Linked DNA regions of Tamandua tetradactyla. Each later gene encodes a partner of the first gene's protein in a complex. Links are inferred from orthologs where the notes say so. Each region holds a gene or a part of one and is shown in the gene's direction. Other genes may lie near its edges. The genes, in order: FGFR2 and FGF8.

Region 1 (15,716 bases):
TCCAGGTGCCAATTTGTAAAACAGGGTCACGGTGGTGCTACCGTGACCAACACCCTTGTGATTTCAAGGTGATTCTCCACTAAAGGCCGTGATCACAGTTGCCTGGAGCATAGAAAGTACCCAATAAATGTCAGCTGCCAAGCACCTACTGTGTATTAAGGGGACAGTTGCTATGACTCCTGCAAGTGGAGGTCATCCAGGCTCTCAGGTATGGAGGTGAAAGAGCAGGGCCGTGGTCCCCAGCTCCAGGCAGGGTGGCTGGCAGAGAGCAGAGACCCAAGGCAGAAGCTGCCCTGGAATCCTAAAAGCCCTGATTCAGGACAGCGGCTGTGATGCTAGGGGAAAATATAAATCGAAAAGGATGGGTTGGGGCGGGCGGATTGGCTTTCCAAAGAGGAAGACTGAAGACTGGGCATTAATTGGCTTTAATGGCAATGGAGCCCATATCCTCTGGTCTGGAGGGCAGCAGTCCAGGAGGAAATGGGGCCAGAAGTCCAAATGGAGTGGAGGGCAGAAAGTGGAAGCCAGTTTAGGGGTGAGGGTGCAAAGGTGGTTCTCAGTCTTGTTTGTCGACCCAGTTGGAGAGATGCCAACACAAGCTGGAAATGAGGGGCCCACGTTTCAGGGAGGATGCTTGGCTGTGGACAGGATGGAAGCACCAGGCAGGAGCGCCAAGCTCGGCTGGAGGCCGCTCCCACTTCACACCCCGTCTGGCAGGATGTGGAGCCCCAAACTGCCGCTGCTCCAGCTGCTGGGGCAAGATCCGTCCAGCTGTGTCTCAGCCAGCACCTGGGATCTGCAGTAGACACACCTCAACCTCGTCGCTCATCACCTGCACTGCCAGAAGGGCTTCGGGGCTGAGGCTGGGGGCGGGCGGGACGCGCTCTCCACCCGCCTTTTGCGCGCGCAGGAACGGCCGCGGCCACACGGGGGCGCTGGCGCCCGCCGCCCACGCCTCCCTGCTCAGAGCCCAGAGAACAAAGGAGCCCCGGGCTCCGCCGCCCTCACCTGGAGCCACCTGCGTCCCGGGCGGCCAGGCCTGAATCCGGACCCCGCGAAGGAGTTAATTTTTGCTCAGCGCTGCTCTTAGAAATCTGTTAAAGAAATTCCCTCCTCCCCCAACCCCTCCTGCCGTGGCCTTTCTCTCTAGCTTGGGGACAGAATACAGGAGCGCTGGGACTCTAAAAGGCTTACTGGGTTTGTGGTTTTACGATTTGTCCTGTTCAGTTTTCTCCGACTCCTTCCCCGAGTTGACCAGGATGCTGGCAGCATCGTTTTCCCTCCCCTTAGGTTTATTAAAGTGAACTCATGTTTTGGTCGAAGTAGACACACACTCGGGAATTAGTAACAGAACAAGGACAGAAACTAAGAGCAGAGAGGGGGGAAAACAAGGCATTGCAGGGAAAAGTAACCAAGTCGGTCCTGCCCAAGAATGGCCTTTCCCCCTAGCTTCTAAATGCCCCTCATCAATGGTGGACAAAATGCTAGGAATAAGATGGGTCCCTGGGCCAGGTAAGCCCTGAAACCTAATGGTCCCAGCCTCTCCAGAACATCAGCTAGTTCCATCTCCCTACCCCACAGAGTAGAAGTAAAAACCTAAAATTGAGGAATTGTAACTCATCCCAAACTCTGAAATCTGTTCTACAACTAATTGTTGTGCTGTGCTTTGAAATTTATTGCTTTTTTTGTATATATGTTATTTTTCACAAAAAAGGAAAAAGAAAAGTAGATTGTGATGATAAAAAAATATTTATTCCTTCTAGTCTCCTATATTCTTGGAGCAGCTAGAAGGAAATATGTGAGAGGATGGCATGGTAGCCCATGACAAACTGGGATCTCTGGGATCTGTCATATAACTACTTATTGAAGAGCGCTTTGAAAACTACTACTTTTTTCTTTCTATGCTTTGTAGATAGGTTATATTATACAATTTAAAAAGTTAAAACAAAAATTCCTAGGAATAATGTGCTGCCTTGCACTAACCCTTGAAGTAGAAAACCTCTAATGATGCTAAGTTACAATTTGTCAATCAACAGATATGGCCTGTTATATACAAATGCAGATCAATAAACTGCCAAGCATGTGCCAGGTCTCGGGCATCCAGGAGTGGGAGACACAGGTGGGGACTTCCTGGGTGTTAACATTTAACATCCCCCCCAATTAATCCTTCCCCCAAGGTCATTTTATACTGGGTTTTCTCCAGGGCCATGCCTGCCTTTCTCTCAGTGGGTTCAGGAGCCTGGCTGAGTGTTCCCGAGGCGACTGAAATCCCCCCCGAGATGAATTCAGAGCCAACGGAGATTTCCACAGAGAACAGGGGAGCTGCATCAAGTAGGCCCCAGACTCAGAAGGTGATGCGGCAGGCTGAGTCGCTGAATTGGTTCATTTGAGGAAGGCTAAATGTTGCATTTGTTAAAGATCTGTCAATGCATCTGCAGTGTCCCCCTGGGCTGGTCTCTCTTCTCCCTCCGCAGTAAGCACTGGGAGCGGCCTTGGAGCGGTCAGAGATGGTGAGAAAATGGGCGTTGGGGGCAGGAGGCAGGGGCAGCCCCTGGACTCCTCTGTTTGAGGGGGTTCTGGGGGAGGAATGCATTGAGCCTGGCTAGTTGGAAAGAAGAGGAAGGCGGGTGGGGGTGGGGGGCACTCTGCAGCGCCGTCCAAGAGAACGCTGTGGCGGCGAAAATCTTCCGTCTGCGCTGTCCAATGCAGCAGCCACGTGTGGGTGTCATACTAGAAATGCAGCTGGTATGACTGAGAACCTGAGATTATATCTAATCTTGACTAACTTAAATTTAAATAGTCTCACTGGCTGGTGGCGTTGGACCTGAGTTGGATAGCGCAGGTCCAGGCAGTGATGGTGATGGGGTGGGAAGCAGGGGTACAGTGGAAGGTCATCCCTCATCCTTAACCTCTGCCCAAATTGCCCCCACGCTGGCTAAAACCATGTGCCTATTTTCTCTGCAGCCTGCTGGGAGGCCGAGTCGTGGAGGGTGGGGGCGGGGGAGTCCTGGAGGCCAGCAGTGACATGCCATAAATTGCCTTAAACAGCAACAGGCCGGGGATGAGAGGACTTTTCCGGTAGATCCCGTTACCGGGAGCTGAGGGGTCAATAGCAGAGAGCCTAGGCTATGGTTTCAGAGTACTTGAAAGTAGACGGTGGCTTCCTGTAGCACCAGGTACACCACTCAGTGATGGGTGAATGACAACTTGATGGGTGAATGACAACTTCACAGCTTCTTTAGACCATGCCAGGGAGGCAGGGACTGTTCAGAGATGGTGGGGGTGGGGAGTGTTGGAGATCATAGATAAATGTATTTTTAAAGCTTAAAGACATGCCATCTGGCCATTCTGGCCAACCAGGGAATTGACTGATCAGTTTTCCTTGATCTGTTCAGGTTGGCAGATGCCAAGTGCCAAAGCGCAGAACTGGCGCCATGGCCGTGAGAGGAGGCGGAGCGAGGGGGCAGCGGTGAGGCTGAGTCCACGCTGTTGCGTGCCAGCGGGGTTTCCCCCAACTTTTTTTTCTTTTATGAAATTATTCAAACATTTGAAAAAGTTCAAAGAATAATGCAACACCCACCACCTAGTTTCAACAGTTAACATTTTGCCTGATGTGCTTTATCTAAGTGTTTCTGCCTTTTTTTTCTGAACCACTTGAAATTAAATTAAGTGTTTTGACAGGGATTTGGTTTCCTACAAAACCAAAGTGTCATGATCTTACATCAATAAATTAACAGCAATCTCTGATAATATCCAGTCCATGTAAAATGTTTTCCAACTACCCTTGCACATCCACCCCCTCTCCCTCAAACACTATCTTTTATAGGGATTTTGCTTTTTATGAATCAGGATGCAATTGAGTTTCCTATACTGCCTCTGGCTATGTCCATCCATTGCATTAAAACAAACAGAAAAACAGGTCTGATGGTAATTGTTAAATGAAACCTTAGGAGTTTTTAAGAATATCCTATTTCCATTTACTTTTACAATACCATTGATAAGAATCATTCTGTGATCCATGAGTGTGGGCTGTTAATTCTTGCACTATTTTGAAAGCTATGAAAATTTAGCTGATGAAATTGTAGGTGTGAAAAAGAGGGGTCTAACAATTTTATGCTCCTGAACCTGAAGGTTCTTTGAAACATGAACAATAATAACTCTGTTTCAGTTTCCTAGCTGCTAAAACAAATACCATACAGTGGGTTGGTTTACCAAAAGGAATCTATTGGCTAGAAGGTGTCTTCTGCCTGGCAGTCTTTGGGGTTCCTTGGCTTTTCCGTCACATGCCAGTGCACATGGCGATGTCTTTTCCTTTTTCCTCTGGGTTCTGTCGGCTTCTGGCTTCTGTTCCCTGTGGCGTCTCGGTCCCTCTGACTTTTTACTCTGTTTATAAAGGACTCCAGCAATCCTCATTAAAGCTGCCCCTGATCCAGTGGGGCCCCACCTTAACTCAAGTAACATCTTGAAGACCTCTTATTCACAATGGGTCCCAACCCACCCTAATGCCAGCCAAGACTAAGAACATATCCACACTAGAGCACACAGTTCCATCCACCACAAGTTCTAACTTGAATTCTTTTCGCAGCACCTAAAGAGACAAATGTAGGCTGAATTGACTGTGACTGAGTAGTTGTGTTCTGGAAATATTAACATTTTTGGAGGCCAAGAATTCTACTCAAATATCTCAGTTCCACACAGAGTTGAACCTAGAAAGAGCCAACCACCCCCACCCCCGGCATGGGTGAGAGTGTTTGGCTTGCCCTGGTGGCCTCTGGAATAAACCCCAGCTTGGTCAGCAGACCAGACTCCTGGGTCCCCTGCCATTAACTAGTGGGTGGCCTGGTGCCCCTCACTTCTCTCTGTGCCCTGCTCTCTTCCCTGTAAAATGTAGGGGACAAATCAAACGGTCTTTAGGATTCAACACACACTTCCTCATGGTGGGACCCATCTCCTTCTGAAGACCTCCCTGTGTCACTCAGGTCCCTTGGAAAGCTAGTGAGCTGTCAGCATGGGCCATAGTGGCCCTTTCTGTTCAGATGTTCCTCGCAGTTTTAAGGAAGCTCTTCCTTTGGTGCTAACTATGTTCACCAGTGTGAAAAGCATATTCTCAGCATGACCTGCTCTGTCCTCATCACCAGCCCCAGGACTGCTCTGGGGAGCAGAGGATACCCGATGTAATGCCTTAACTGTGTTTGGCCATGGCTGCATGGCTTCTCTGGTGCTACCTCCTTAGACATCCATTCAGATGACTCAGACCGCCTTCCTAGGACGCAACCTCAGGTGGGCCTCTGCTGGGCACCCCAGGCCTTTTGCTGTGGGATGCAGCAGTAAAGGTGACTGCAAAATACCAACCAGGAATTATGGTGCTAACAGGCCTTTCACTTAAGCATTTTCCTTTCATGGTCCTGGGAAGTGGGGATAATGATAGTAAGTGCTAGGCTCTGCTTTAAGTGTTTGTCACCTCCTAACTCATTTAATCCTTTAGTAACCCTATGAGCTAGGTACTATCAGTGTCCTCACTTTATGGGTGAGAAAATGGAAGGCTCAGAGGACTTCAGCAAGTTGCCCAAAGTCACAGAGCTAGAGTGTCTGGAGCCTTGAAGCCTCTCACCTTAAGGAAGCAATGCCCTCTTGACTCAAAGCGAGATTCATCCAGGAGGACTTTCTCTCCAGGGAAGTTTTGGCTTTGATTCAGGTACAGTTCTAGGTTTAGGCTCACTGATGTTCAGTGGTGGAATTGATGTTTTTGCCTCGGTTACATGTCACAAGCTTCCTGGAAATGGCCTGTGCCTTCTGGGATCTGGCCCCTTCCCTCTTCCAGAGGGAAGTCCTGGCAATCCTATATCCCTCCTCTCTGCATCTTCCATGCCAGGGATGCCAGTGCACACAGCTGAGAGGTACTTGGAAGAATGCAGTCCCTAGTTTTGCCACGTCCAAATGCTCGGACGTTAGCATTTCAATGTCAGTTGCTTTTATTCATCTAACTTTCCTATAGGGTGTAGGGATAGCCACCCATTAACAAACAAATTATTAAAAGAAAAAATCCGAATCATTAAAGCAGAGGAGCCCGTGGCAGCAAAGTTCCCCACCCCCTTCCTTCTTTTCTCTTCTCTTCACCAGTGGGCTAGAAGCACAATTGGCTTCTTGAAACTTATGGGGCATTGGAGTTCTGGTATCCTCATTTTCCTTCCTTCCCATTGATGTATCATTACTACGGTGAAAAAAAGAAGGGCTTCTCGAGGGCTTTTGAAAAAAAAAAAAAGGGTGCCTACTCAAGACATTTTGTAAAGGGGGGAAAATTGTGAAGAAAAGGGGCCTCGGCAGGGGGTGGAGGGGTTGTGAATGTGGCCTTGTCTGGCCGTTCTTTCAGCTGAAACCTGGTGCCGGGCGTTCGTAGTTCAGTTCAAACTGTCACCTTTAGTTCTTGATGGTTTTCTGCCCTCGCCCCTGAACCTCAACAGATTGGGGCTTATTTACCTATTCACACTCGGCCGTGCAAGCTCATTAATAGGCTTATTAGCAACACCATTCACGGGAGGCCATTGACAAAAGGGGTTCCAGCCACTTGAAGAGGGAAGAGAAAAAAAAAAACTGTAAAGAGATTATTTTCTCATTCAGAAGCCTCGCTGGTGTGAAAGCTTGCCTGGACCCTCTGAGGTCACTTGAAGCCTAAATATGATGACAGAATTGATTTAAAAAAAAAAATTCCAAACATGCTTTTGCTTTTCTCAAAACTGAAGAGTTTGCCATTGCGAGCTCCGCACACTTAAAAATGAGCGCTCTCAGGAGAATAAGGGGCTTTGATGGATTGGTGTCCTTTCATCCCTATAAAGAATAAATTCTGAAAACTGGACCTGGACATTAAAGTAGGTGTTCTTATTTGTCATTTTCAGCGGAAGGCTTCCTTTCCATTCAGCGTACATAAAGCTAGTGATGAATGGGGATAGGTACTAGGCTTCCTGCACCATTAATTTATGTGAGAATGTGTTAACAGCATTTTCAATGGCTGATGGCTGTGTTGCAGGATGGGAAAGGAATCTGTCCGAGACACTCGAGTTTCCCATTGGCGGGGAATAGAAAGATATAAGTGCCAGCTCCCAGTAAGCATGTATTCAGCCCCATCTCTTTTGTGATTCCAGGTCTGAGAAGCTGAAAATGCATTGGTGTGGTCAGTGACGCATGGCTCTGCAGTCTTGGTCGTGAAAAGCTTCTAGAACTGACCCAGGATAGAGAGCGTTACCAAAAATATACCCCGCCCATCAAGCATGATCATTTTGCTTGAGAGTCAGACTACTATTTTTACTGATAAATTTCCAAAATATCATTCCATAGCTCTTTGCCTGTAGCATTTAAACGGACTCATTACTCCTGGCTTTTAAGAAATTTATGTAAAAGTTTTCTATGATGTATTGTGAATAAAAATGATATTCGAATGATATGGCACCTTGAAAAACTATTTTTGCTAATGTTGTGAAGTATGTGATGTTAGTGACATTTTTGCATTTTTACGTGCAAGAACAGTCGATTTTCCAGGTCAGTTTGTTATTATCTATCTTTAGGCCTCAAAAGCATTCTAAAACACCTCTTGGTTTAATGACCTTTTCTAAAGAAATATAATTGAGGTTTTATCTACAGTGTATTGAACTGGAGCTCGACTGCTTAGAAGCTGGATGAGTGAGGAGGGACGGAAAGTATAATAGAAAATGAATTATTCTGAAGACATAGCCTAGTGAAAGAGGCAAATGGAAAATATGAACTTTAATGAGTAACTGCTTGGTATCTGAACAATCTGATTTTGCAGTTGAATTTAAGTACAGAGAAGGAATTAAATTGTTCAAGGTCATATAGTCACTTATGGCAGAGTTCAGTCTTTAGAAACTTTTAAATTATTTTCACTAATCCAAATGTACATTACTAAGCAACAAATGCTTCGGTGCAGTTTTCCCACTTTTTAAAATAGCGCCAGATTCAAAGTCAGGCTCTGCCAGTAACCAGCTGTGTGTCCCTGGGCAAATTACTTAACCTCTCTGACCCATGTTTCCTCATCAGAAACTGGGCATACTACTATGCTGGGTGGTTGTGCAGATTAAATAAGATAACCTACTAACCCACTATGTGCCTGGCACACAGTAGGGTCTCCACAAATATCAGTTTCTTCTATTGTTTTGAAGGACAGAAATGCAACGCCCTGCAAACAGTTTCAAGTTGTTTCCTCCAAAAGTTTCAGTTGCACTAAACTTCCACCCCCGATAGTCCCATTTTCAAGTCCATTTAGGGGCAGAGCAGGCATTGTGCCATTTGTTGTCTGGTGTGCAATAATACTTAATGAACCCCCCCCCCCCCCGACAAGCAAACCGTTGGGCACTTTAACTCCCGAGGGAAGGAAGGAGGAGAGGGCGCAGGGCGCGGGAGTCAGGCCTTATTAATGGGGCGTATTGTAGCAGTTCTCCGTGCAGCTCGTGGCCGCGTCCCTCGCCTTCCCGGCCGGGGTCTGCGGGCCGCTGGCAGGCGTCGGGCGCAGCGCGGGGCGCGGGGCTCGGGGCGGCCGGGTAGAGCGGCGCTGATTGGCAGAGCGGACGCCGCCGTCCAGGAAACGGCTCGGGTTTCAGCGGGGGGCGTGACCCGCCGGAGGAGGCGGCGGCGGCGGCGGCGGGCGGAGGTGGCAGCGGAGAGCGCCGTGGAGAGCCGAGCCGGGCGGCCGGGCTGGCTGGCGGGCGAGCGCGGCGGCCGCACAAAGCTCGGGGCGCCGGGGGTTCTGCGGGCGGCGTACCTGGCCCAGCGCGGCGACTCGGTTTCAGGCTGGCGGGGCCCGGACGCGAGCCCCGGGGACTCGAGGCCGCAGCTTTCCTGCGCGTTCTGACTGTTCGCGAGTGGCGAGCAAAGTTTGGTCGAGGAGACGCCAAGCCCGAGTCCTTTCTTCCTCTCGCTCCCCAAATCCGAGGGCAGCCCGCGGGCGTCATGCCCGTCCTCTTCCGCAGCCTGGGGTGCGCCTGAAGCCTGGGAGCTTTGACGCCGGCGAGGACCCGAGGACGACTTTGTTTTTGGAATTTCCCCTGAGGGGTCCCCGAGCTCGTCGTTTGCTCCGTCCCGACCCACTTCGGCCGCGGGGAACGAGCAGATCGCGAAGGAGGAGCGTGGCCATTCAAGGTAATCGCGGAGCGGGGCACCCGGGCAGCCTCGCCAGCGGGGAAAGTGGGCGCCGTGGGAGCCCGGGGCGTCGGGTGCACTGACCCCCGGAGGAGGGTGCGGGAGACCTGGCGTTGGGGAGGGCGTCCCCTGTCCCACCTCTGGCTGCCCAGATGATGGGGAAGGAGGTTACGTGCTCACGGCCGGCGTTTGCGAACTTCTGTCTCCAGCACCCCCACCCAAAGGGTTGGCATCTACCGCTGGCGTTGACATCGCCCCCCCGTGTCAGTCTCCCGCGGGCTCAGTCCCGCCGGCCGGGTGGGTTCCTCCGACCGCAGAGAGGGCGTGTGGGATGGGCGGGCGGCGGGGCCGCCTTTCTGGGGGCACGGTCCAGGGGGCCTGGAGGGGCATCTTCGGAGACCCTCACCGCAAGGCTTGGGGAGCGCCCTCCCTGTCCCATCCAGATTCAGGCAAGGGACCCGTTCCCTGGGAGGGCGCCGCTGGGGTGGGGCTGCCACTTCCCCGAGGTGATGGCGATGCCTCGGCTGAGGAGCACCTCAGGATAAGGGGCGGGGGCTACTCCGGTTCCGCGATCTTGGTGCCGGGCCCCCCTCGGCCGCAGCCGCCGCCGGCGCTGGTGCCTCGGGTGTACGGATGAGGGCTGGGAGGGAGCGCAGCGCGCCCGGGGCTAGGGGGCGGACTGGACCGACTTTTTCTAGTTCGCCTGCAGCCGCGCGGAGATGTCGAAAGCGCAGGCGAGTTTTAACTTGCGCGCTCATTCTTTCAGCGGTCGGGCCGCGCTGGGGAGTCCAGCCCAGGGCTCCGCGAGGCGCGGGCCGGCGCCCTGCGCAAGGGACTCGGGCGCGCGGGACCACGAGCCTTCCCCGCGCCCCCCCCGCAGCCGGCTCCCGGGCGAACCCTTCCCGGGGTCTTCCTTCCTCTGGGCCAGATCTCTAAAACCGACCCTTAAAGCCGAAGCTGCTTTCAAACCCGAGGCTCTCATTATGTGTTTGGTGTGAAACGCTATCAACATTTAAAACCCCATTGTCCCCCCCGGGTCCCAAATCCCTGTAAATCTTCCACCAGCCTCGACTCATTTTCATCTGAAAAGCCTGTTTAGTTTGAATAGAAAAGCAATCAGGCGCCCCTCTCCCTCTCCCTGGAATGTCAATTAAAATGCAGATTTCTCTGAGCTCTTTAGCTGCGGAGAAAGGGGGGAGAAAAAACAGGATATTCCAGGCAAACAAATGAAAGAAATGCTACCATGAACCGGGGTGTCGGTGGTGCGCACCCCGAAGCTGCCAGCCAGTTCTCACTGTCTTGCAGGGAGAAGATTGCTGCCGTGTATCAGCCTGTATATTTTGTTTTTGAGATTTCAGTGTTGTGTGTTGAGGAATTCCCTCTCCCTGTTCCATGTCTGCAGATGTTACACCTTACCCAGCGTCCTCCCGTTCTCAGCTCTGGAGGGAAAGGAGGGCAGTGCTGAGACTTACACTAGGGAATGGGTCTTCCTCTGGGGGTGCGGGCCCCCACCCTGGTGGGGCAGTGTTCATTTTCCAGGTGAGACGGCTCCCCTGAACAAAGCACCCGAGTTGCTCAGCAAGGGGACTGCCAGTGGTGGACAGGTCAGTTAGGTCACTTAGGTCCTTTAGGTGGAAGCCCAGAGAACGCCGGCCCCTGGCATTGGCCCTCCTTCTGGGGGTGGAGGGCTTGGGATTGTGGGAAGTTGAACTGGAGCTGCAGGCCCACCGGGGACCTCTCCCCAGCCCGTTTCTCACTGCAGGTCAGTTTGCCTGTCTTTTGGGGTCAAGCTTGTGCAGAGGTGAAAACGGACTAGGGGAGCGGGTGGCAGTGAAGAGCCATCCATCAGAGGGAGGGTGACAACTCCTCCCGCGCAGGCTGAGAATAGAGTTCCCTTTCAAGGGGAAAAATAAACACGCTGGGGCTTTCACTGGGGCTCAGACTCCAGGAAGGATTACGGTATTGTAGGCAGGAAGCCGGGATTGTGGCAGCCAGCGGCATGCTGGGCCTGTGTTCCCAACACCAAGCCTCGGGACCTAATTATCCTGCCTAGGAGGTCGTGCCATACTCTGTCCACTCCGGTGAGGGGCTGCGGGAACCTGCCGCCTAAGGGCCCAGCCGTCCTGAGAGGTGGGGACAGCCAGCTGCGGGGCCCGGACCTGGAAATGCCGCAGTTTGGATTTCTGGTGGAAACTGGTGGGCGAGTGAGTCGTGAGTTCAGGTTTGACCTGGGGCACTGTCCACTCCTCCTCCCCCCCAGGGCTAAGGAGGCTCTTTTGGGAAGGCGCAGGGTTAGGGGTAGGGTGGGTTGAGGTGCAATCTCCTGTTAGGAGTTAAAGCTGTTCATAAAGTTGCATTGGAAGAGGAAATTCTCATGTACTCTGCAATTGATCAGTAAATTGGTGAGAATGTTTGCATTCTTTCCTCCCACATGTATGTAGAAATAGACACAGAATTATCTTTTGAGGCTTTAAGAGGAAAGAAATATCCTTCAAGGATCTGAAAACACAGCGTGTACGTACACTTTTCTTGCTTTTCCTGTAAATTCCTGTTTCATACGTATTTTCTTTGAAGCAGAGGTTTTCTTTATCCCCCACTCCCTTTGGACATTGTGTGCCATCCTCTTTGCCCTCACCCAGTTTTAATCCTCAGTCAAGGCTAAAAGGAGCAGTTTCTATGGTGTAGCTTTGGGAAATGCTCAGGCAGTGTTGAAATTCTGTGTCATAACTTGAAGCATTAAGTCAGCATGTAACACGGGGCAAGGCACGAGGTTTAGTGATTTTATGGTTTAGGAATTTTATATTACAAGCCACCCCCACCCCAGTCTTATAAAATGAAATTAATTCACGCAGTTCATGGAATTTGCAGACTGAGGTTATTGTACCCTTTCTTTGTGATGGTTTTAATCAGATTCTCCAAAGTTCATGCATTTCGACTGTACACTTAGTCATTGAGGATATCGAACGAACTTAAAGTTATCTGGAATATTTTAAGTTCGCTTTGAAATTTGTCTTCGCCTTTTAAAAACTTGGAACAAGTGGGTGAACAAAAATACTAAGTTGAGCGCCCCCTTGGAACTCTACTCTGTAATTTTAGCCAGTGGTTAGCATATTGAAAGATACTGCCCCAATCACATACATGCCAATAATTTGCATATCATCATCATCATTTTAAATAAACTCTCCCATTATTCACCTGGAAACCGGAGTTTGCATCTGCTCTGTTTCTTAACTGTGTACTAGGCCTGAGGCTAGTGGAAGGGGATTCGGTCTTCGAATCCCATTTTGGATCGGCTGCTTTGAATGTATTGATTGCAGTTCCTTTCATTCTTCCTAAGAGGCTGTTTGGCGAGGGATTGAAATACACTTGCACATTTGAAAATGAATCCTGACAAGTGTACATTGGTGGGAATTTTTTTTTTTTTTTTTGCAGCCTTCCTGGGATGAGCTTTTTTTTTTTTTTTTTTCTGGTCTCCTTTCCTCCTGGGCACCACCCTGAGGGGGTCAGAGCTCTGAGCTGCAGCCCAGCAGAAACACCCAGGTCTAAGCAGGTGCCTGGTGGGCTCGGCTTTCGAAAGCCTGGTCAGACCGAGAGAAGTTAACGAGGCCGCTTCTGCAGCCCCAGCATTTTTAACCTGCTTTTGTAGTTGCCCTTGAAACTAAGGTCACATTGCTTCTGCGTTTTGAGGGCGATAGAGGTGATAGTGGACAGTGAAGGAAGCACATTTTACCTGACGGGAGTGGCCGCCTGTCCTTTTTTATCTGATGTTTTTTGAAAGACCAGCTTAAGGCATTTTGCCCAGGGGGCTTGTGGAAACACCTGGGGAACCTGAAGCCAGGAGGCATTTGCAGATAATGAAAAATGACTTAGTTTTCACATGTTCGAGAGGCTCTGGGAAACCCTGTTTGAGCCCCCTCGGGTTTAAGTGAACTGGCTCTGGGGAAGATTTCACTGACTCGCCGCGTCTCTTTCCTCTAGTGGTCGCAGCAGCAGCGGCCGCCGCCTGGTTCCGGAGCCCCCCGCGGGCCGAAGGCGTCGCTGGCGGTCCATGCCCGCAGAGGCCGGGTGCAGATGGGATTGACGTCCACATGGAGATACGGAAGAGGACCGGGGCTCGGCACCGTGGCCATGGTCAGCTGGGGTCGCTTGGTCTGCCTGGCCGTGGTCACCATGGCAACCGTTTCCCTGGCCCGGCCCTCCTTCAATTTAGTTGAGGATACCACCTTCGAGCCGGAAGGTCAGTCATTTCATTTCGCTTTTCAGGGTACCAGGTTCGTCTGGGGATTTGTCCGTTTGCAAGTGGCATTTACGGACTAAGGCCCGCTTTGGAATCGGCTGCCCTTGTGTTGTCCGGGAGTCTTCTGAGTACAGTTGAGAGTGACCTCTTCACCAGCACCCCCCAGCTCCCCCCACCCAAATCCTAGATTACCTGAGAGATTTCCTTGCTGCAGCAGTGCAGGCAGGATGGTGTAGTTTGGTGGTTTTTTGATGTGTGTGTTTCTCTGTGCTGGGTGAGGGAAGCGGTGCCCAGGAGAGCTGCGGAGAAGGAACTTGTCTGCAGATGAATGCCGTCTGTAGCTGCCTGCAGTAGCCTTCCTGCTGGAGGAGAATCTGAAGAATTGCTCTTTTTTTTTTTTTTTTTTTTGACAAAAGGAACCATTAAAAGAAATTGCCAACCTCTGACATGCTGACATTTTCTTTTCATTGTCTAAAGAGATAAAGAAGCTTCTGAAGTTTGGTACAGAGATGCTTGGTATTATATTAGACTTTTTTTTCTTAAGCTATTATAGTTCCTAATACTTAAGCAGTGGTCACAGCCACAGATTCTACTTAGGTAAATTAGAATATATAGATACCACAGTATTACCCACATCTATTCGAACTTTCAGATCTAACAGGGTGTGTGTTGGTGTTTCCAGCTTTGGAAATTTAATTTGAAAGCCTGAGGCCCATCGTGAGGTCCCAGGGAGACTGAATTGTGTAGCTGGGCAGATTTGGAACCTCACTCTCAGGTCCTTCTGAGACCACGTTAGCCAAGTCTCTACTTGGTGCAGCATTGAAATCTGTCATCAGTTGGAAATATTGATAGCTGAGTTATTTTTCGAGTGGTAATCCGAGAATCAAACGGCAGATCCCAGCACTCATCGCCACTTAATGAACCTGTTTGCTGAGAGCCCACCTGGTACTCGCCTGACTTCGGGAGCCCACCGCGTTCCTGAGTGGTCTGGGGTCAGCCTGCCTCTTCTGGGAACTCCCCCTGGGCAGGGGTGAGTGAGCAGCAGGCTGACCCAGGAGGGCAGGCTGGAAGAGGAGGGAAAGTGCCGCCTCCTTAGCATGGCCAGGGCAGAGCGGGAGGGAGGGCTGTGTTCCCACGGCTGCTGAGAGCTCTGAGACTGGTGGGCTCCCCCCACTGAAGACCCCCATGCGTGAGACATTAAAGGATGAGGACAGATCTTTTTCTGCATGGCGACACTCATCACCTAAAGCCATCGTATGGGTGAGACTGCTGCACTTTTCGTTTATTACGCAGAGGCACGGAAGCTTTATAATTAACAGGTGGGGTGGCAGCACCCAGGCTTCCGCAGCTCGGGAAGGGAGTCTGGTAGGAGTTTGTTTGACGTTTTTACAGGCTACACCTACAGACCCCTGTGGAACTGTCTCCTTAGGACATGTGCCATGATGAGGATGAATGTATCTTGCCATGGTGATGGATTTTTAAAGAACTGAATGTGAGGGAGAAGGTTCCTGGTTTCTGAAAGTCATGCCTGTACTTCTTTAATTTTGCTAATAATTAAAATGGATGTTTCCCTAATTGCTGGTTTTCCCCTGAGTGCATGGCTCAGCACAAACGGCGGAAGCTATGCTGGGATTTCTTACGATGTGGGCTTCAGGAATGGGCCAGGTTAGGAAAAAACTGTCATTTTCCATTAGAATTTTCAGGGCAGCATCGTTGTGAGTTTATTTCAACACAAAGCGTAAAATGGCCCTGGAGGGTTTCTTTTACCATATTTAATTATTGAAGAAAGTTTAAAATACATGTGTACACATAGGAGAGAGGTGAAGCAGAGACGGAAAGAACAGAGGGAAGGGATGGAGTCCCCAAATGGTTCTTTGTGTAAAGATTTGTGTCCAGCAATGTGGGAGCATTGTTCAAAGCAGGTGGTGGGTCTTGCCAGCTTGGGCTCTGTGGATGCACTTGGGATGGGGGCTGGGCATGAACTCCCGAAAGTTGTAGGTAATATTTTGCAAGTGTCCTTTTGTGTATTTATTGGGGTCCATAGTGTTTTAGGAGATTTGCATCCATGTTGTGTAATGTGAAAAAATGTTTAGAGGAAGGAGCAAAACCTGCAAAGAGGAGGCTTTGGAAAAGCATGTGAGCCCTAGACCTCAGTTTCCCTTTCTGTCATCTGAGGGATTGGTAATGAGCTTTTAGGGTTTCTTCCAGCTTTTACATTAAATGAACATGAACACCCTCAGAAGTCTTCTGACAGCCTACCTCCAAGAGGTTAGACTGGATTACAAAAACAGGTAGCACAGGGCCTGGTGTCCAATAAGCAGCCACTGCGTAT
Region 2 (15,833 bases), about 21 Mb from region 1:
TTCTGTTTCTTTTTCTTTTTTTAAAAAACATTGTTTTTAAAGTGCCTCCCACCTAGGGCTAGTCTGTGACCACTTTGGGTACCAGAGCCTCATTTCTGTAACTAAGACTCAGTCTGTTGCAATGTGCAGTCACTTCTGGAAATTAACCTCAATAGCAGGTCAGCATGTGAAATGTTAGATTTGATAGAGCTGTCAGTTTGATAGAACTGATTGTCCCATTTGCACTTCACTCAGTTGTCCTTTAATTTCAAGACCTTTTTGCTCTGGGCTTTATTAAATCAGAGTCTTTAATTCTTGCATGTTTGTATCTAATTTTTAAAAGCAGCAAAGAATGAACACACTTTAACCAACGATTTATGATTACCTGTTTTCCCCCTTTAACCACAGATTCTGAAAGCTTCATGTATTTTGATTTAGATTTCATGTTTTTAAGGGTTTTGAGCATGAGGATGGCAGGTGATTTCTGCAGGATTCATTTTTTTCATCATGACTGGCTGACTTTTCCCTAGATTCATAACAGTATTTTGTTATCTTGTTTCCTGCAGTTTTGTGTCAGCTGTTGAGTGAAGGAGGTGTGGGGTAAGAAGATGAAAACTTGACTTTTTTTTTTACTTCTGGAACTCAGTATGTGTGGGCTGTGAGAGAATCTTAAAACTTTGTACCTAGTGGTACCTAGTGATTTCCAACCAGGGCCTGAGTGTGCACTGAATGGCTGAGAATAGGCGAGAGCAAAAGGAGGCCTTTGCATTTTCAACTATAGAAACTTTAAAATAATAGAGAAGGATAACGTTATGTTGGAAAGCTGGAACCAATTTGCATTTTTGAGGACTGGGGTGAAGGGAAAATCCCTACTAGGTATTGTTAAAACAGCTAACTCAGTTTTCTCTGAGAGCATCTCATATACGAGTGGACGTTTCTGGCATCTTGCCCTGGAGAATTTCAGGGTCAACCTCTTATGGAATCAGGATATTTTAGCAACTTTGCTTGTGGCTTTATATTGGCTTTTAATAATCACTTTGGTCAGAACATTCTGTTCACAGATGCTAACTGTGAAAGAGATGTACAGGCCTATAACTTCATTAGGATCATAAAGTGCTATGCTGACATATGGTTAAGAATTTTTATTAAGATTGAAATGATGCTGTCATTGATTGTTTAGATTACATCTCAGTTCCTGTAGAAAATGAACTGTAAAACTGTCTGAAGACCATGCAAGAGGCAAAATAAAACATGAAATGAATGTGTGTGGTGGTGTACTGTGTGAACCTGTTTTTGCCCTCTACCCCTTGGGTCCTTCATGCCTTGGCAAGAAGTAGGCATTTCTCTTCTGCAGCTATTCCAGTTTTGGGACTGTATCTTGAAGGCAGGCTTCCCCACTCCCATCCTCAGTAAAGGGCTCCCAGTTTTTCCTCAAGCAACGGGCAAAAACTGAGGAAGGCCCCATGTAGTTCCTGACCAAACTACCCTCTAGAATTATTATTTGGGTGTGAAATAGGGCAGCTAATTTGAGAGTTGTCTGCTATCTAATAGAATGAGGAACACAGTCTGGTTCTTTTCGTCAGAATGTAAAAAAAAAAAGTGGGGAGGAGAAAACCGCATTGAATGAGAAGAATTCAAAAGGGAGTGGTGTGCCTGGGTTGTGTGGGAATCAAAGACCATGTAAAGGGTAGGTAAGCCCGTAGGAACAATTAGTCCCTCACCTGAGCTAACCGTGCTGCTAGCAAGGCCAACAACTGAAGCATATCTACAAGAGGTTTAAACTGAGAGGGCTGAGCATTCGGGTGGAAATCAGTGGAGTCTTCCCTCAGTCTCTGGGACAAAGGCCATGTGCAAATCTGTGAATGCATTTCCTTTGCTTTGATAAGAACTTGGGCTATCTTGACACCCCCTTTGCTAGGGGAGGAAGTAAGAAAGATTTCTATTTTTGTATCCCACCTTTAATGTGAACTTACTCGGTTAGAAGAGTGGGAACGCTACAAAGGGTGCCAGGAGCTGGAAAAAAAGGATACAGGAAGCCACCCTCAAGAGAGCCTTAGTTCTAGAAATAAGCACGGACGACAACGTTGTCTCCAAACCTATGCTTTGTGATGTCCCTCCCTCTTAGGTCTTTAAACAGAGGTCTGAGTAGGTAGCGTAGGTTCCTGGGCGGAAAAGCTATCGACCAGGCTGAAGACAGCTTCTCCTTTAAAAGGCGGGGCCGGAACTGGTAGACAGTCCCTTGTTTTATACGTGTCAGGGGCGGGGCTTGAAGACGGTCCTTGCTGCAAGGTCGCTGGCACTGCCGCCTTAGCGTTCCTAGGCCGGGAGATCCGATCTCGGACTGGGGTTGTCGGGAGTCTGCGGGTCCCGGTCACTATGGACAGTTTTTTCTTCGGTAATGAGGAAAGGAGGGCATGAGGGTGGTGCTAGGGTGGGCTCGGTAAGCGTCAGAGATGAACAGGAATCTAGTTGGATGCACAACGTGGGTGGGGGTGGAGGGGTGGCTTGCCGTACTCCCAGGAGGCGGGGTCCCGCACACTGCCGCTTAGGCGGAAGTGGGCAATGGGGTGCCTACCCTAGATGTGCCGTGTGGGGTGGGGCCTAGGATCGAGCGCCCCAGTCGATGGCAGCACATGACGGAGGGTCGGTAAAACTCTTCCCCTGCAATACCCCCCCCCCGCCCCCCACTCATACACTGTCATCACTCCCAGGCTGTGAGCTCTCCGGCCGCACCCGCTCCTTCAAGGTAGAGGAAGAGGATGATGCGGAACATGTGCTGGCATTGACCATGGTGAGGGGAGGGGACGAGGGAGGGGACGGCGTAGGAGAATAGCTGGGCCTGGGCAGGCACCGGGTGGGTCTTTATACATGTTCTTTTTACTGGGAGTCGCCTCATCTGATTGAGCCCCCCATGGACGGCTCCCCTGGCCAGGTGATTTAGGAACATCAGGCTGGGCAAGTTCAAGGATTCCTCCACGTGTGGTGTCAACCAGCCCTTGAGGAGAAGCTGAGGCCCTGTGTACCCTTCCCAGCTCTGCCTCACTGAGGGAGCCAAGGATGAGTTTAATGTGGTGGAAGTCGTGGCCCGGAACCATGACAATGAGGAGATTGCAGTCCCTGTGGCCAACCTCAAGTTGTCTTGCCAACCCATGGTGAGTTCCTCAGTCAGACCCAGGGGAGGAGGATTGAGCTTCAGGACTCACAAGGTAGTTGGGGGAGGAGTGGGCCAGGCTCTTATCCTTGTCTTTTTCCCTAGCTCAGCCTCAATGATTTTCAGCTCCAACCACCTGTAACCTTCCGCCTGAAGTCTGGCTCTGGCCCTGTGCGTATCACTGGGCGACACCAGATTGGTGAGAGTATGGGGAGGCCCACTCCTTTGCCTTCTCTGCCTCCAGCCTACTCTCAGGACTCCCCCAACCCCATACGTCTGCCCCATTCCAGCTTTACCTCTTAATGCAGCCCCACCTATGTGCCCACCCCACCTCTCCCCAGGCCATGCCCCCTGTATGATGTGTCCTCCACACTTTTCTGTCCAACTCAAGCCTACCTCCTTCAAGAAATCTTCCCAGCTTCTTCAGCTCCAGTAATGGCTCTTGTTCATCAGTTTAGTATCTGAGGTTCTTCCTATCTAGGCCATAAGCTCTGGGAGATCAGGGTCCTTGTAAGCCTAGCACCACAGGATGTACAATTAAAAAATGTCAAGTAAAAGACACGTGATGTGAAGGTGCTCTGGCTTCAGCTTTCTCTCCCCTCACGTCCACTTATTGCTTGTGTGCCTACCAGTTACTATAAGCAATGACATTTCTGAGGAGGAGGAGAGTGTGGAAGAGGAGAATGAGGAGGAGACTGAGTTGTACCCCATCCTGCCTGCCAAGAAGCAGAGGGGCAGGCCCTAGTCCTCTTTGGTGAGTGGGGGAGAAGCTCAGGGATGGTGCCTGGGGTTTGGGGAGGGGACAGAAGGAACAGGTGAGAGCCTAGATGTTGACCCCTTGACTGCTCTCCTCAGGTCAGCGATCTACCTGCTACATGTGCCATGCACCATGTTCCTTGACAAGTCTCAAGAATTTTAAATATTTCTTCTCCATTGAAGAGAAGGGTTTGGAGCCTGGGGTGAGGGGAAACTTGGGCCAGTGCTAGGAGAGAAAGGGGCCCATTCTCCCTAGTCCTACATCCCCTTTTTCCAGGGATGGGAGGAACTCTGAATTTCCATCCTAATCCACTCTCTGCCTCTTCCCATGAGTGTTGGAGGTCAGTAGCTGAAGCTCAGAACTACACATTTTTGACAATTTTTACATTTTTGGATAAAGATTGGAATAAAGTGCTGTGGGACTTTTTGCAGATCACTTGTGTGGCTTCTTCCTGGACTGGAGTGACATTCCCCCGGAGACCACCAGGTGGCACTGTGGCAGCGCGGAGGGTGGTCCTGGGCTTGGGAGAGGGTGGAGAAATGTGGGATCCTGCTATCCCGAGGGCCCAGGCTTTGCTAGAAGGGGACCTCCCAACACCCAGACTGTTCCCAGCCTCTGCAGGTGGGGGAGGGCCAACTCAGGAGGTTATCAGCATCCAAACAAGGGGTCTGGGCCTCTGTCAGCACTCAAACTGATGGGCAGGGGGGCAGATAAGGGGGCTTAAGCTGGCTGAGGAATGTGCATCCCTAGCCCCATGAAGGGGCACAGGCTCCAAGAGGGCCTGTGAGGGATCGGGTGGGGGCCAGTCCTTGCTCCTTCAAGACTTGCAGGCAGTCTCTGAGCTGGCCTGGGCCCTTAGAAACATGATTCCTAGGGCCAGATGGAGGGGCCTGGCCAGATTGGGTGACAAGGAAACCAGAATCCGGGTGGCCTGGCATATGGGGGCAGAGGGCCCCCCTGGGAACCTGTCTCCTGAGCTAAAGGGTTCCTGCCCCCAGCACATCACCTAGTCTGGGGGTCTCTGGTTCCCAGAATCAGGTAATTCTGAGACCTGGTTGCCAGCCTAAGTGTATATTTGACCAGCTCTGGGGTCAGCAGTTCAGCATCTGTGCTGAGGGGTAAGGTAGGGGGAGCGATAATGCCCCACCAACAAACAAACAAAGGTTACTTCCTGAGACAGCCAGGGGCCAGACAAGCTGAAGATGGACAGAGAGCAGGTCTGGTGGGAACCAGGCAGGCTCTGCATCCACTGCTGGAAGAAGTGAGTGGACAAGTGGGAGGGGACCCAGATATTGGGGGGGGGATGGGTATTGGGGTAGGTGGGGTCAATTTAGGAGGTAGTGTCCTCACTACACGGAAAAGTATTCCCTTTTCAATATGCATCCCTGGAAAAGGAGATGCTTTCCCCGGTTTGTGATGAGGAGCGTGCAGGGGGTGGGGTGCGGGGGGTATCCAATTTTCAACCACCCTTTGAGGACAAAAGAAGACCCCTTTCTTTGTGTAGCGGTGATTAGGGTTCCAGGTTACTCACAACTCCATGAGGAGTTCCCGAAGTGCTTCCACCAGGGAGCCAGGTTGGAGCAGGAGAGAGGCGCGTTCGGAACCGTTCGCCTCTGGACGACAAAGCGTGGGGAGAGGAGAAGGAGCTAGCGCCCTCTGGTGGGCATGGCCGAACCGCGGATAGGTCGCGGGTGGTAGTGCGATTCCGCACGCAGTCTCGGGCTCTGGAGGTGGGCGGTGGAGCAGGAGTATACGTGGCCGGCGAGGGATCCGGGCCTCCAAGTTTTAAGCAGAAGGCGAGGGAATGAGTCACTGAGGCTAAGTCATTCATTCATTCATCCATTCATTCATTCCTGGGAAGAGAGAGAGCTCGCTTTAGAGTAGGGGAATCAGGAGGCAGTGTTCAAGCAGTTCCCTTCCTCCTCCCGGCTCCATCCTCCAAACTCCTCGCACGGTTCTTGGTAGGAAGCACTGGAGTCTGGCTTGAGTACAGTGAAAAGTAATCTCTATGGGCAAGCCTCCCAAGCAGACCCATTTACCCCCGGCGCGTAGCTCCGCCCCAATATTTACCCCCCACCGTGCCGCTGATCGCTCATTGTATTTCTCTTACTGTTTGCTTGGTCTGTCTCTCCCCGGGCTCCGGCCGGCGCCGAGCGTGCTCCTGCCCGCAGTGGGGGCCCAATCCACATCTGTCTCTCGGTTCTGGAGTTTCACCGGCCAATCGGACTCCCCGTGGACTGAGCTGGGACTTGTTTCTTCTCTCTCCTTGTCCCGCGCTTCTCCTCTACCTCTTTTTTCTATCCCCCCCACCCCAGCACACAGTAGGAGTGCTGCCAATTCGTTTTGGCCTCAGAGCGCTGGGAGCTGAAGGCACAAGCTGGGGCTTGCTGACCCATATTTGGGGGCTACAGGGGGGCTCCCGACTGGGGCCCGAAGTGCTTAACACAGTTTAGGAGATTTGCATTTGAACGGTGGGCAGAGTCCGCGGCGCTTTGAACGCCGGGCGCAGGAGGCGCGCTTTACAGCGAGCGGCAGTGGGGGCGGCAGTCGGGGCCGCCCGCGCCGGCTGGTGTGGATTTGAGGAGCGAGAGGGGGCGAGGTGGGGCGGGGGCGAGGGGTGCGTTTGGAAAGGGGTTGAAGGCATGTGTTTGGGTCCCGGCGAGGGCGTGTTTGCGGAGGAGCTGTTTGTGTTGGCGAGGAGCGTGTGTTTGTGTTTGGAGGCAAGGTGGGGGAGTGAGTGTGTGTGTGTGTTTGTGTTTGCGGAGTGTGGGGGCGGCCTCCAGGGAAGGTGGCCAGGCTGTCACTCAGCGATCAGGTTGACAGGCGCTCCCTCATCAGGGCCCAGGAGCTCTGATTGCAGATTCGAGGAAACAAAATAGCAATTGTAATTACGGGGCTTTGATAAGATAAAGGAAGGAGCGAGCTGGCCGGGAGGCGAGCGAGTGAGCGGACTAGGGAGGGAGAGAGCGGCCTGCGGGGGCCCCGGCGAAACATTTGCATCTGTCAGTCACGGGGCTCTGCCCGGGCAGAACCGGGCGCCTGCTGCGGGGGTATCCCCATCTGTCTCTACAGAACGGGACTTTTGGGGAGATGAGAGGAAGCCCCCCAAATTGACAATTAATGGGAACAGGGGTCCAGTTTGTGGGAGAGTCTCCAAATGTAAAGGATTTCTGGTCCTGCAGGGGCCCCTTGGCAGAGGTTAAGGTGGAGGATTGAAACCCCGACCTCAGCCCCTTCAGCCTGTGATGTCCATCTCGGGGGGGGGGGGGGGGGGGGGGGGGGGGGAGAGGGGGGAGAGGGGAGTGAAGATCATTGAGGTTCAGTCTTGGTCTCTTCTGACTTTTCTGGAGGGGAGAACCAGGGCTGAAGGCTGGTCTGTGCCAGGTACTCTGAAGGCTGGTCTGTGTCCTACCCGGACCCCACCTCAGGAAAGAGCAGGTGCCTGGAATGGTCCTGGCTGGGACCCCAAGACCATGTATGCTGAGGACAGACTGGCCTCCCTAACCCCTGCCTGTATTCTGTTTCTTGCTCTTCCCGCCAAACTATTTTCAGAGAGCTAGGTCCACAGTGAGGAGACGGTCCTTTCCTTTCAGGAAGTATCCACAGTCCTGCTCTCTATCCACTCCACTCATTGATTCATTCAGTCATTCATTAATATATACAAATAAATATATATTGTTTAAAGTATATATACAAACTTTCTGAAGGCCTACTATGTGCAGAATACAAGATTAAGATGGTGAGCAAACAGATGCCATCCCTGCCCTCTTAGGTCTCACGTTAGAGTGCAGAAGGGGAGGCAGACAGTTAACAAGTCACCACACAGGCCTCTAAGACCTTGAAAACACTGAAAAGCACAACGAAGGAAAAGGGACGCCTGGGGCCGTGAGCACCTGGAACCTGCCTGACCTATCTCCTCCCTGATGGACCCCTCTCCCAGGGTTTGAGAGGATGAGAGCAAACAGCAAGCATGCCAAACTTTTAGCAGGTATAAATGCTCGAAAAATGATGGTGCTTACAATTATTCTCTATTGGGGGTGGGGGTGGGGGAGCCGGAGGCAGGCCTCCCTGGGAAAGTTGCATATGGGCAGAAGTCTAACAGCACAGCTAGTTTCCCCATTATTCATTCATTCATTCATTCATTTGTTCATTCATTCAGCAAACACTGACTGTAGAACAACTTTGCCCAGTTCTTTGCTACTAGAGTAAGTTCTAAGTTAGTAGGCAAGAGCCAGCTGAGTGAACAGGGGTGACAACAGATGGGCTTAGGGGGTCTACTGAGGAGGGATGAGAACTTGGGACAAGCCTTCTGACTCTGTTTTCCCATCTATATATTATTCAGTGTTTGCATTTATGGCTGGAAGTGGGGAAAGGTGGGGTAGTGAAAGGGGTGGTAGGCAGAATTTGGCTGAGCTACTGGATAAGAGCTGTCAGTCACTTCTGCCATCTAATGGCTTCCTGGGACTACCCCCACCTTCTCCAGCTCTACTCCCAAGGGCATGGGGGACAGTGGGGAGAGAGAGGTCGTGGGTGAAGGCAGCAACTGGGCAGGGCACCTGTGGCTTTACCTGCTCCTCAGAAGTACCTGTCCCAGGGCACCTCTGCCCACTCTGGCTGCTCCCACAGAAGCAGTGGGCCTCAAGGTTTCCAGAAGTCCCTGAGGGAAGTAATGAGGTGGAGGACAGGGAAAGAGTTAGACAAGCCCCTTTACCCCCTTTAGTACCAATTTCCAGTTGATACAGTGCATAACGGGTGCCCAGCCCAGGAAAAGCAGCTGAAAGCAGTTATTTTGGTCCCCTCTACCTGCTGGTTTGGGTATCCGGCTGCTGTGCACCTCTGCCAGGGACTTCTGGGCAACCCCTTCTGTGCTGGGGGGTGGGGGAGGGCGAGTGGGGCTTGCTTAGACAATGAACGAGACAGGCGAGACTCACGGGGTCTCAGCAGAAGGGTGCGAGGAGCGGTTCCCCCATTGCACACACACGCACTGCCCGAGAGACGGGCGTGCAGCATCGCTCCCAGGGGACAGGCCCTGCCGGAGCACACAGTAGGTGGTTCAGAGACTGGCCGCGCAGCCAGAGGCATCTGCGGACCGGACGTCCCGGCGGAGACCTGGCAGACCCCGCGGTCTAGGAAACCCGGGTCGAGGGTCTCGGAGCCCCATGGAGCGGACGGCTAGAGGCATGCCGCATCCCCGCGTGTCCAGGCCCGAAGAGCGCGCGAAGGGACAGACCTGGGATGGGGGGTAGGGGGGAGGTGCCCACATGGGCCGCCCCTACCCCTCCCGCGGGTCCCCAGACCCCTCCCCTGGCCCAGACCCCCAATCCCCAACCCGCCGGCCGCCCCGCCCCGGCCCGCCCCGCCTCCGCCCGGGGCTGTGTCCCGGCCCCAGCTCCCAGCCGGGGGCTGCGGGCTCCCGCCGCCTGCCCCGCGCTCCCCCCTCGCCCCCGGTGCGGCGCCCCCCGCCCCCACCCCTCCCCCTCCTTTCCCACCTACCCACCCACTCCGCCGGCCCGTTACCCTCCCGCCTGCTCCGGCTCCTGAACAGCCTGCGGCCACCAGCTCCAACAGCCACGCAGAGCGTCTCAGCGCGGCACAGCGCGGCGCGGCGAACGCGACATTCCACGGGACCCGCGGAGCCGCATCGGGATCGCGGCTGGTCTCCTGCACCCCAGCCTCCCTCAGCCGCTGCTACCATCCGCCCGTCCCTCCACGGCGGCGCGCGGGACGACGTGATCCCGCCCGGGCTCACCGTGCTCCCGGGGCCGCGCGCCATGGGCAGCCCCCGCTCCGCGCTGAGCTGCTTGTAAGTAGCGCCCGCGCCCCCGCAGCCCCTGCCCGGCCCGCGCCCGCCGCGCCCTCTCGGCTCACCTCGCTCACCCTGCTTCGCTCTCTCTCTCTCTCTCTTTCTCCCGCCCGCTTTTCTCACCCACAGGCTGTTGCACTTGCTGGTTCTCTGCCTCCAAGCCCAGGTAAGGAGCATTGCGCGAAGGCGGGGGCCCGGCGGGCCGGCGGGGGTCATCGGTTGGCAATGTCCGGCAGGGGCCCGAGGACAGCCCTTGCGGCCAGGGCTGCAGAGCTGGACGGAAGGAGCCTTAGAAACCAGCCTCGAGCTACCCGGAGGAGGGGAGCTAGGGAGCAGAGAGGTAGCTCCTTGCCTAACGTCACACAGCGAGTGAGTGGCGAGACTAGAATCCAGGGTTTCCGAGTCCAGCGCTGTCTCCTACGCATCCTAGCCAGGTTGGAGTGGATGGGGAAGTCTGCGGGCAGCCACACCTGGGCGCTGAGGAAGCGGGCAGCCCCGGCCGGGGGGCGTTCAGGTGTCAGGAGAAGGCCCGGCGACGGCCGCAGCGACCCTCTGAGCCATGGCCCTCGGCGGGAGACTAGGCTGGTCGAGCCGAGCGACCGGGTGCCCAGGCCCTCTGCGCGCTCAACATTTGCTTTGTAAATTTGTCTTTATAAATGTCACGGGCGAGTCGCGCTGCCTCCCTACTTAGGAGCACCCAGCTGCTCCCCTAGAAGGGCCCCCCAGTAGGGGCCTGCGCCGGGCAGGGAGCTTGCTTCCCTGCTCTGAGCTGGCTGCGAGCCCCAGGGTGTTTCCAACAGGTGGGTCCAGATCCTTCCCCATCCCAAGCTCATCCGCCCGGGCTGGGTCTGCCCCGGCTTTCCTGGGTAGGGGGAGGTGACTTGAACCCAGATGTTGGGGAGCCGGGCCCTTGCCTCGGCCTGGGGCGGTGGAAGGGGAGTGCGCAGGGGCGGGGGGGGGGGGGCACGTGGGCCCCTGGGCGGAGTAGCATTATAATGGCGTGTTGTGTATTTTTCAATTTCCTAAAGGTAACTGTTCAGTCCTCACCTAATTTTACACAGCATGTGAGGGAGCAGAGCCTGGTGACGGATCAGCTCAGCCGCCGCCTCATCCGGACCTACCAGCTCTACAGCCGCACCAGCGGGAAGCACGTGCAAGTCCTGGCCAACAAGCGCATCAACGCCATGGCGGAGGACGGCGACCCCTTCGGTAAGCGGCGCTGCCTGCGCACCACCTGCGCCTTAAGGAGAGCTAGCTGGCTAGCTCGTGGAGCATGCGCCCTGGCTGGCCTGCAGGCTCCCCAGCTCAGAAGGGAAGGAGTTAAGGCCAAAAGGTGTCCCGAGGGTCGCCTGGGGAAGGGGCCTCCGGGAACACTTGGCCCACAGGTGCCCCCTTCCCTGTCCTGCAGACGAATGAATCCAGGAATCTCCCCTTACACCCCCCCCCCCCCCCACAGCCCTCCCCAGCTGCAGGTGGAGGCAGGGGGTGCAGGGGGAGGGGGCCCAGACTTAAGGGAAGCTCTTGAAAGAGGATATGTCGCCAGAGCCCACAAAAGCAGAGCAAGAAGAAGGGAGAGAAATCTCCCCAATACTCCTAGCTTGGAAAAAGGGGGTGCTGTGAATCTCTAAATACTTGGACCAGAAGGGTCAATTACTCCTCTTTTCAGCTTGAAAAGGGGCCCTCCCTGTTCCAGTGGCTCAGGGTCCCAGACTGCTGGGACAGGGCCCGGGGCTCCCTGTGGGGCGCTGAGTGCAGGGAGCTACTGCTGGCGGAGAGGCTGAGGACTGATTGATTTCTAAAACATTCAATATTCCTGCCTTGAAACAGGGCCAATTTCCAGAGCCCTGGATGTACCAAGAGAAAAGCAAGCCCTCTGGGCGGCTGGTGTTGTTTTTAGAGAGCGATTATTGTGAGTTTAAAAACCTTTAAATAATGACCAAGTTAAACAAGCATGAAAGGAGAGGGGAAGACTCTATTAAAATGTAATAAAAAGGTGAGGCATTTTAAGAGCTAAGAAGAAAAATGAAGAATGATATAAAACAGAAAAAGAACGAGTCTTTTTTCAGATGTGGAGTTTGAAAGGAGTTGCAAGTCTGTAAATGTTAAAAAAGAGGTTCAAGATTGTTCTCTATGAATCTCTGGAGAGACCCCCGCGTCTGGCAGAGCGATTAAAACTCTTCTTACTTTCACCTTTTTTAACATTTCCTGAATACTTTCTCCTCTTCTCCAGCCAGTTTGGGGGATCGAGTATGTCTCGCTGCATTTTTTCTGCATCGACGTAGCTGACTTCCCTTCAAAGCTGGAGAAGGAGACATAATTTTCCTGGGATAAATCTGTCACTGGGGTGGAAGAATAGGTTTGAAAATGTTAAGCTTTCCAAAAGCCCAGCCGGGAAAGGCGCTGTAAACTGCGGCCCCAGCTCCCCCGATCCATCCAGGAAGGAAAGTGGGGGCTCTCTTGGGTGGGGGTGGGGGTGGGGGCGGCCAGTCCGGTGGCCGAGCTCCCCTGCTGGGCTGGCAGGGCTGGCCTGCAGTCCCTTTGTCCTTCCAAACTGGCTGCTTTGCTGCCCTTCTCAGCTTCCAAGGAAAGGAAGCGGGTGCCTGGCTTCTCCCGGGTTTGCTCCATCGGAGCAAATGGCCAGCATCACTGGGTTTCCAGGAGGGAAGGGGAGGCTAAATTGGCAGCAGGGAAATTAGTCTTCAGAAGTCTGATGCCCACTTCTCTCCCTAGAAGAATAGGAGGTTTCCCAGGTTCCTTGGTCCCCCTGCTGCAGGTGGGGAGTAGGAGCTGGAGGCCCTGAGAGTTGGAACAGAGGCTTTGGGTGGGGAGCCAGGACAGGGGGAGTGTGGGGGACAGCAGGGGCCCCAACTGCTTCTTTGCAAGTCCTGGGAAGAAACAGAGGGGGCTTATCCCGTCCCTGTTTGTCCTGCTGGGCCATAATCCTGAGTGGGATTCTCTCGTCCCTTCTCCAGTCACTGCCCTTTCTCGGCTCTTAGAAGCAGTCATTTCTTGCTCTGGAAGGCAGACTGGGAGAGGGATGAGCAGACTGGCTGGGTCCACGAGGAGGTGGGTGGGAGGGGAAGTGACAGCTGCATTTCCCTGCTGACTTGGGGCCAGACTGGGGACTTGGCCACTGGGTCCCAGCTCTGGGCCCATGTGAATGGCAGGGGGACAGGAGGTGAAGTTACAGGCTGGGCGGTAGGAGCTGCCTTGCTGTCCTAGGTGCCCGCTCCCCCATTAGTTTCAGGGAAAGAGAAGATACCACTGTCTCAATGCAGGCTGGAAAGCAGCTCTGGCCGTTGCTGGACTTTGTGGTACCAAGGACAGGAGACCCAGCCACTTCTGCCCCATGCCAGAGAGCTAACTCAGGCCCCAGTCCCTTCGTGGGACAGTGTGAAAGGGGGGAGTTGTGCAGAAAAGTGGGTGGGGACTGGGGCTTCTGTGGTAACTTGGGTGTCTGGAGAAGGGGTTAGTCTCCTGGCTTTCCAGATTGAGAGGCAAGCATGTCTGATTTCTCCCCTCCTCACCCACAGAAACACTGTTGGGGTCCACAGAAGGTGGTTGGCCACTGGGGTGAGAAGCCCAGCTGTGATGGGGGTTGCAAGAGAAAAGACTATTGAGTTGTTGATTTCTGGACACTGGAGCTGGGGACTGTGTTGGCTGGGAAGCGGTGGGGAAGGGGCAGGAGCCTCCCAGCCAGTGTCTGAGGTTCAGGAAAAGCAGCTGACCTTGGGAGACCTGTCCCCACCCCTGCCACCAGCAGAGCACAAGTGCCCAAGGAATGGGATGGCCAAGGCTAGGAGATAGAACCGAAGTGGCAGGAACAGGAGAGAGTGCTTTTACATTTGTCCTTGGGCCTGGAGGCCGCCACTGGACCCAGAATGTCTGTAACAACCTGTGAGACATGTACATGTAATATTTTGAGTTGGAAGGAAGCTCTGAGATCTTTTGATTAGCAGTGGAGCTGTGGTCAAATTAAATTTTACTTGGAGCCCCATCATAAAAATCAAGATGGTCTGACTTAAAAAGAGGATGGGAGGAATAGAACTTAGGCAGCCTTCCTGGCCCCAAGACCCCTCTGCAGAACCCAGTCTGTAAACCATGATCATGTGCAATCCCCCTTGTAAGCTGAGGCAGGTAGCTGGGGACTTAGAAAGGTGATTTGACTTTCTCAGGGTTGCACAGCCCATTTTCGTGGCTGCGCTGGGCTGGGGTCGTGTGCCTGGCCTTTTGAGCGGTAGCTGCTGGGCAATGACAAGTCTGTAAGTGAGGCTGCAGAGAGGGCCTGGATCAGTGTGGGGGTGGGAGGGGGTCAGGGACCTTCTGATAACCAGCCCCCACCTTCTCCGACAGCAAAGCTCATTGTGGAGACAGATACCTTTGGGAGCCGGGTTCGAGTCCGCGGAGCTGAGACGGGCCTCTACATCTGCATGAACAAAAAGGGGAAGCTGATCGCCAAGGTGAGGCCCTGGAAGGAAAGTGGGGCCCCTGGGACCTGGCAAGCAGGCTGGGGTGGCTGAGCTCCTCCAGGACCATCTTTTGCCTCTAATCTCAACAAAGTGGTCAGAGAGACACAGAGCCACCTTGGGGTTACCTAATGATGGGGTGGGGGGCTGGGGGAGGTGAGGGAGGGACTGCTTAAGAGATGAAAAGCTCTAAAGGCTGAAGAGGAAGAAGGAAGGCTAGGGAAGGGGCGGGGGTGGTGGTGGTAAATTCCATATATCTTTTTAACAAATCGCCAAATTGCTTTGCTATTATGTCCAATTACATGGTACCAGCATTTGGAATGTTCAGTAAGCCGCAGGCCCAGCCCCTCGGCCGAGCTCTGAAATGGCCCCATTAGTCACGGCTCCTCTCCAGCCTCGAGCTCCCCTCTTCCTGGGCTGCCGGGGCGTGGGCTCAGAGCCTCTCCGCCGGCCTCCCCTCCCCCACGGGGTGGCGGCCCTGGGGCCAGGCGACCGAGCTCCTGAAGGGGAGCCCGGGGCAGGTGGGGAGACGGGCCCTAGCAGCTCTGGCCAGACCGGTGGGCAGAGGGCCAGAGCAGGCCGCGCGCCTGGACCCCCTCTCCCTGCCTCCCCGTGTCGGGGCCCAGCCCCTGCGTAGACGACCATGTGTCACCGCCGCCCGGGAGCACAGGAAGTTGCCGGGTGGGCTGCGGGTTGTGAGGGATTAGAGAGCCCCGTGCCCGGGCAGGGGGGTGGGGCCGCGGCTCCTGCCCACCTCGCCATCTGCTGGGGTGCCCACCTGCTGTCCGGGGCCGCTGGCCCTCTGCCTCTGATAGGGGGGCTCGCTGCAGAGCCCAGTAACGCCGCGTTTGCTCCCCCCCCCCCCCCCCACTACCTGCAGAGCAACGGCAAAGGCAAGGACTGCGTGTTCACCGAGATCGTGCTGGAGAACAACTACACGGCCCTGCAGAACGCCAAGTACGAGGGCTGGTACATGGCCTTCACCCGCAAGGGCCGGCCCCGCAAGGGCTCCAAGACGCGGCAGCACCAGCGCGAGGTTCACTTCATGAAGCGGCTGCCGCGCGGCCACCACACCACCGAGCAGAGCCTGCGCTTCGAGTTCCTCAACTACCCGCCCTTCACGCGCAGCCTGCGCGGCAGCCAGAGGACTTGGGCCCCGGAGCCCCGATAGGCGCCGGCCCCGCGCCCCTCCCCAGCCCTGCGAACAACGGAGACTTTCATCTTGATGGGAGCAAAGAAAAAAAAAAAGAGAGAGAAACTCAAGCAAGATGAGATCTGCGCTGCTGAAGGCTGGGGAGGAGCCGGGGAGCCCCGGGTTCTAGTTGTTGATAATTGTTTGCTGTTGGGTTTTTTGTTTTGTTTTGTTTTTAAACAAAAGAGAGGCTCTATTTTTGTATTCCACTTGGCTGAGTTGTCTGTCTTCTTAATGCCATGAAGGCCAGTTAGTGGCCTGCCCTGGGGGCTCTTGGAGGAGGGGGGACCAGGGAAGCTTCTTTAGAGTCTAGCAGAGGGGCTCCGGAGACGGAGACGCTCTTGCACCTCAGGGCAAGCTGGCCAGGCAGCCAAGGAGTCATTGCACCTCCAAGTAGGGGCAGGGCAGAAAGGGTTGGGATTCTTCGGGACAGTTCATTTAGGGGTCAGTGTCAGTGGAGGGAGGTTGTGTAACTAGTTGCTATT

The links.
Region 2: the proteins of FGFR2 (region 1) and FGF8 are in contact, whole or in part, in a crystal structure (PDB 2FDB), measured with the Homo sapiens proteins. The link is inferred for Tamandua tetradactyla from reciprocal best matches to the Homo sapiens genes FGFR2 and FGF8. Residues at the interface, in NP_000132.3 of Homo sapiens: Glu160, Lys161, Glu163, Lys164, Leu166, His167, Ala168, Val169, Pro170, Asn173, Asp247, Val249, Arg251, Ser252, Ser282, Asp283, Ala284, Gln285, Pro286, His287, Ile288, Gln289, Ile291, His293, Leu309, Val311, Leu312, Lys313, Ala314, Ala315; in NP_149354.1 of Homo sapiens: His53, Val54, Gln57, Asp62, Leu64, Ser65, Arg66, Leu68, Ile69, Arg70, Tyr72, Tyr75, Arg77, Gly80, His82, Val106, Glu107, Thr108, Thr110, Phe111, Gly112, Ser113, Val115, Thr148, Glu149, Ile150, Val151, Leu152, Glu153, Asn154.

The regions. Positions count from the first base shown.
Region 1 is NC_135339.1:84,187,899-84,203,614, reverse strand, and holds the start of FGFR2 (fibroblast growth factor receptor 2), read left to right. Parts: upstream 1-8,736; 5' UTR 8,737-9,147; intron 9,148-11,472; exon of another isoform or gene 11,473-12,451; intron 12,452-13,125; 5' UTR 13,126-13,218; coding exon 13,219-13,384; intron 13,385-15,716. UniProt on the Homo sapiens protein: Tyrosine-protein kinase that acts as a cell-surface receptor for fibroblast growth factors and plays an essential role in the regulation of cell proliferation, differentiation, migration and apoptosis, and in the regulation of embryonic development.
Region 2 is NC_135339.1:63,457,095-63,472,927, reverse strand, and holds FGF8 (fibroblast growth factor 8), read left to right. Parts: upstream 1-9,658; coding exon 9,659-9,690; intron 9,691-9,819; coding exon 9,820-9,856; intron 9,857-10,718; coding exon 10,719-10,899; intron 10,900-11,658; exon of another isoform or gene 11,659-12,029; intron 12,030-14,043; coding exon 14,044-14,150; intron 14,151-15,036; coding exon 15,037-15,327; downstream 15,328-15,833. UniProt on the Homo sapiens protein: Plays an important role in the regulation of embryonic development, cell proliferation, cell differentiation and cell migration. Required for normal brain, eye, ear and limb development during embryogenesis.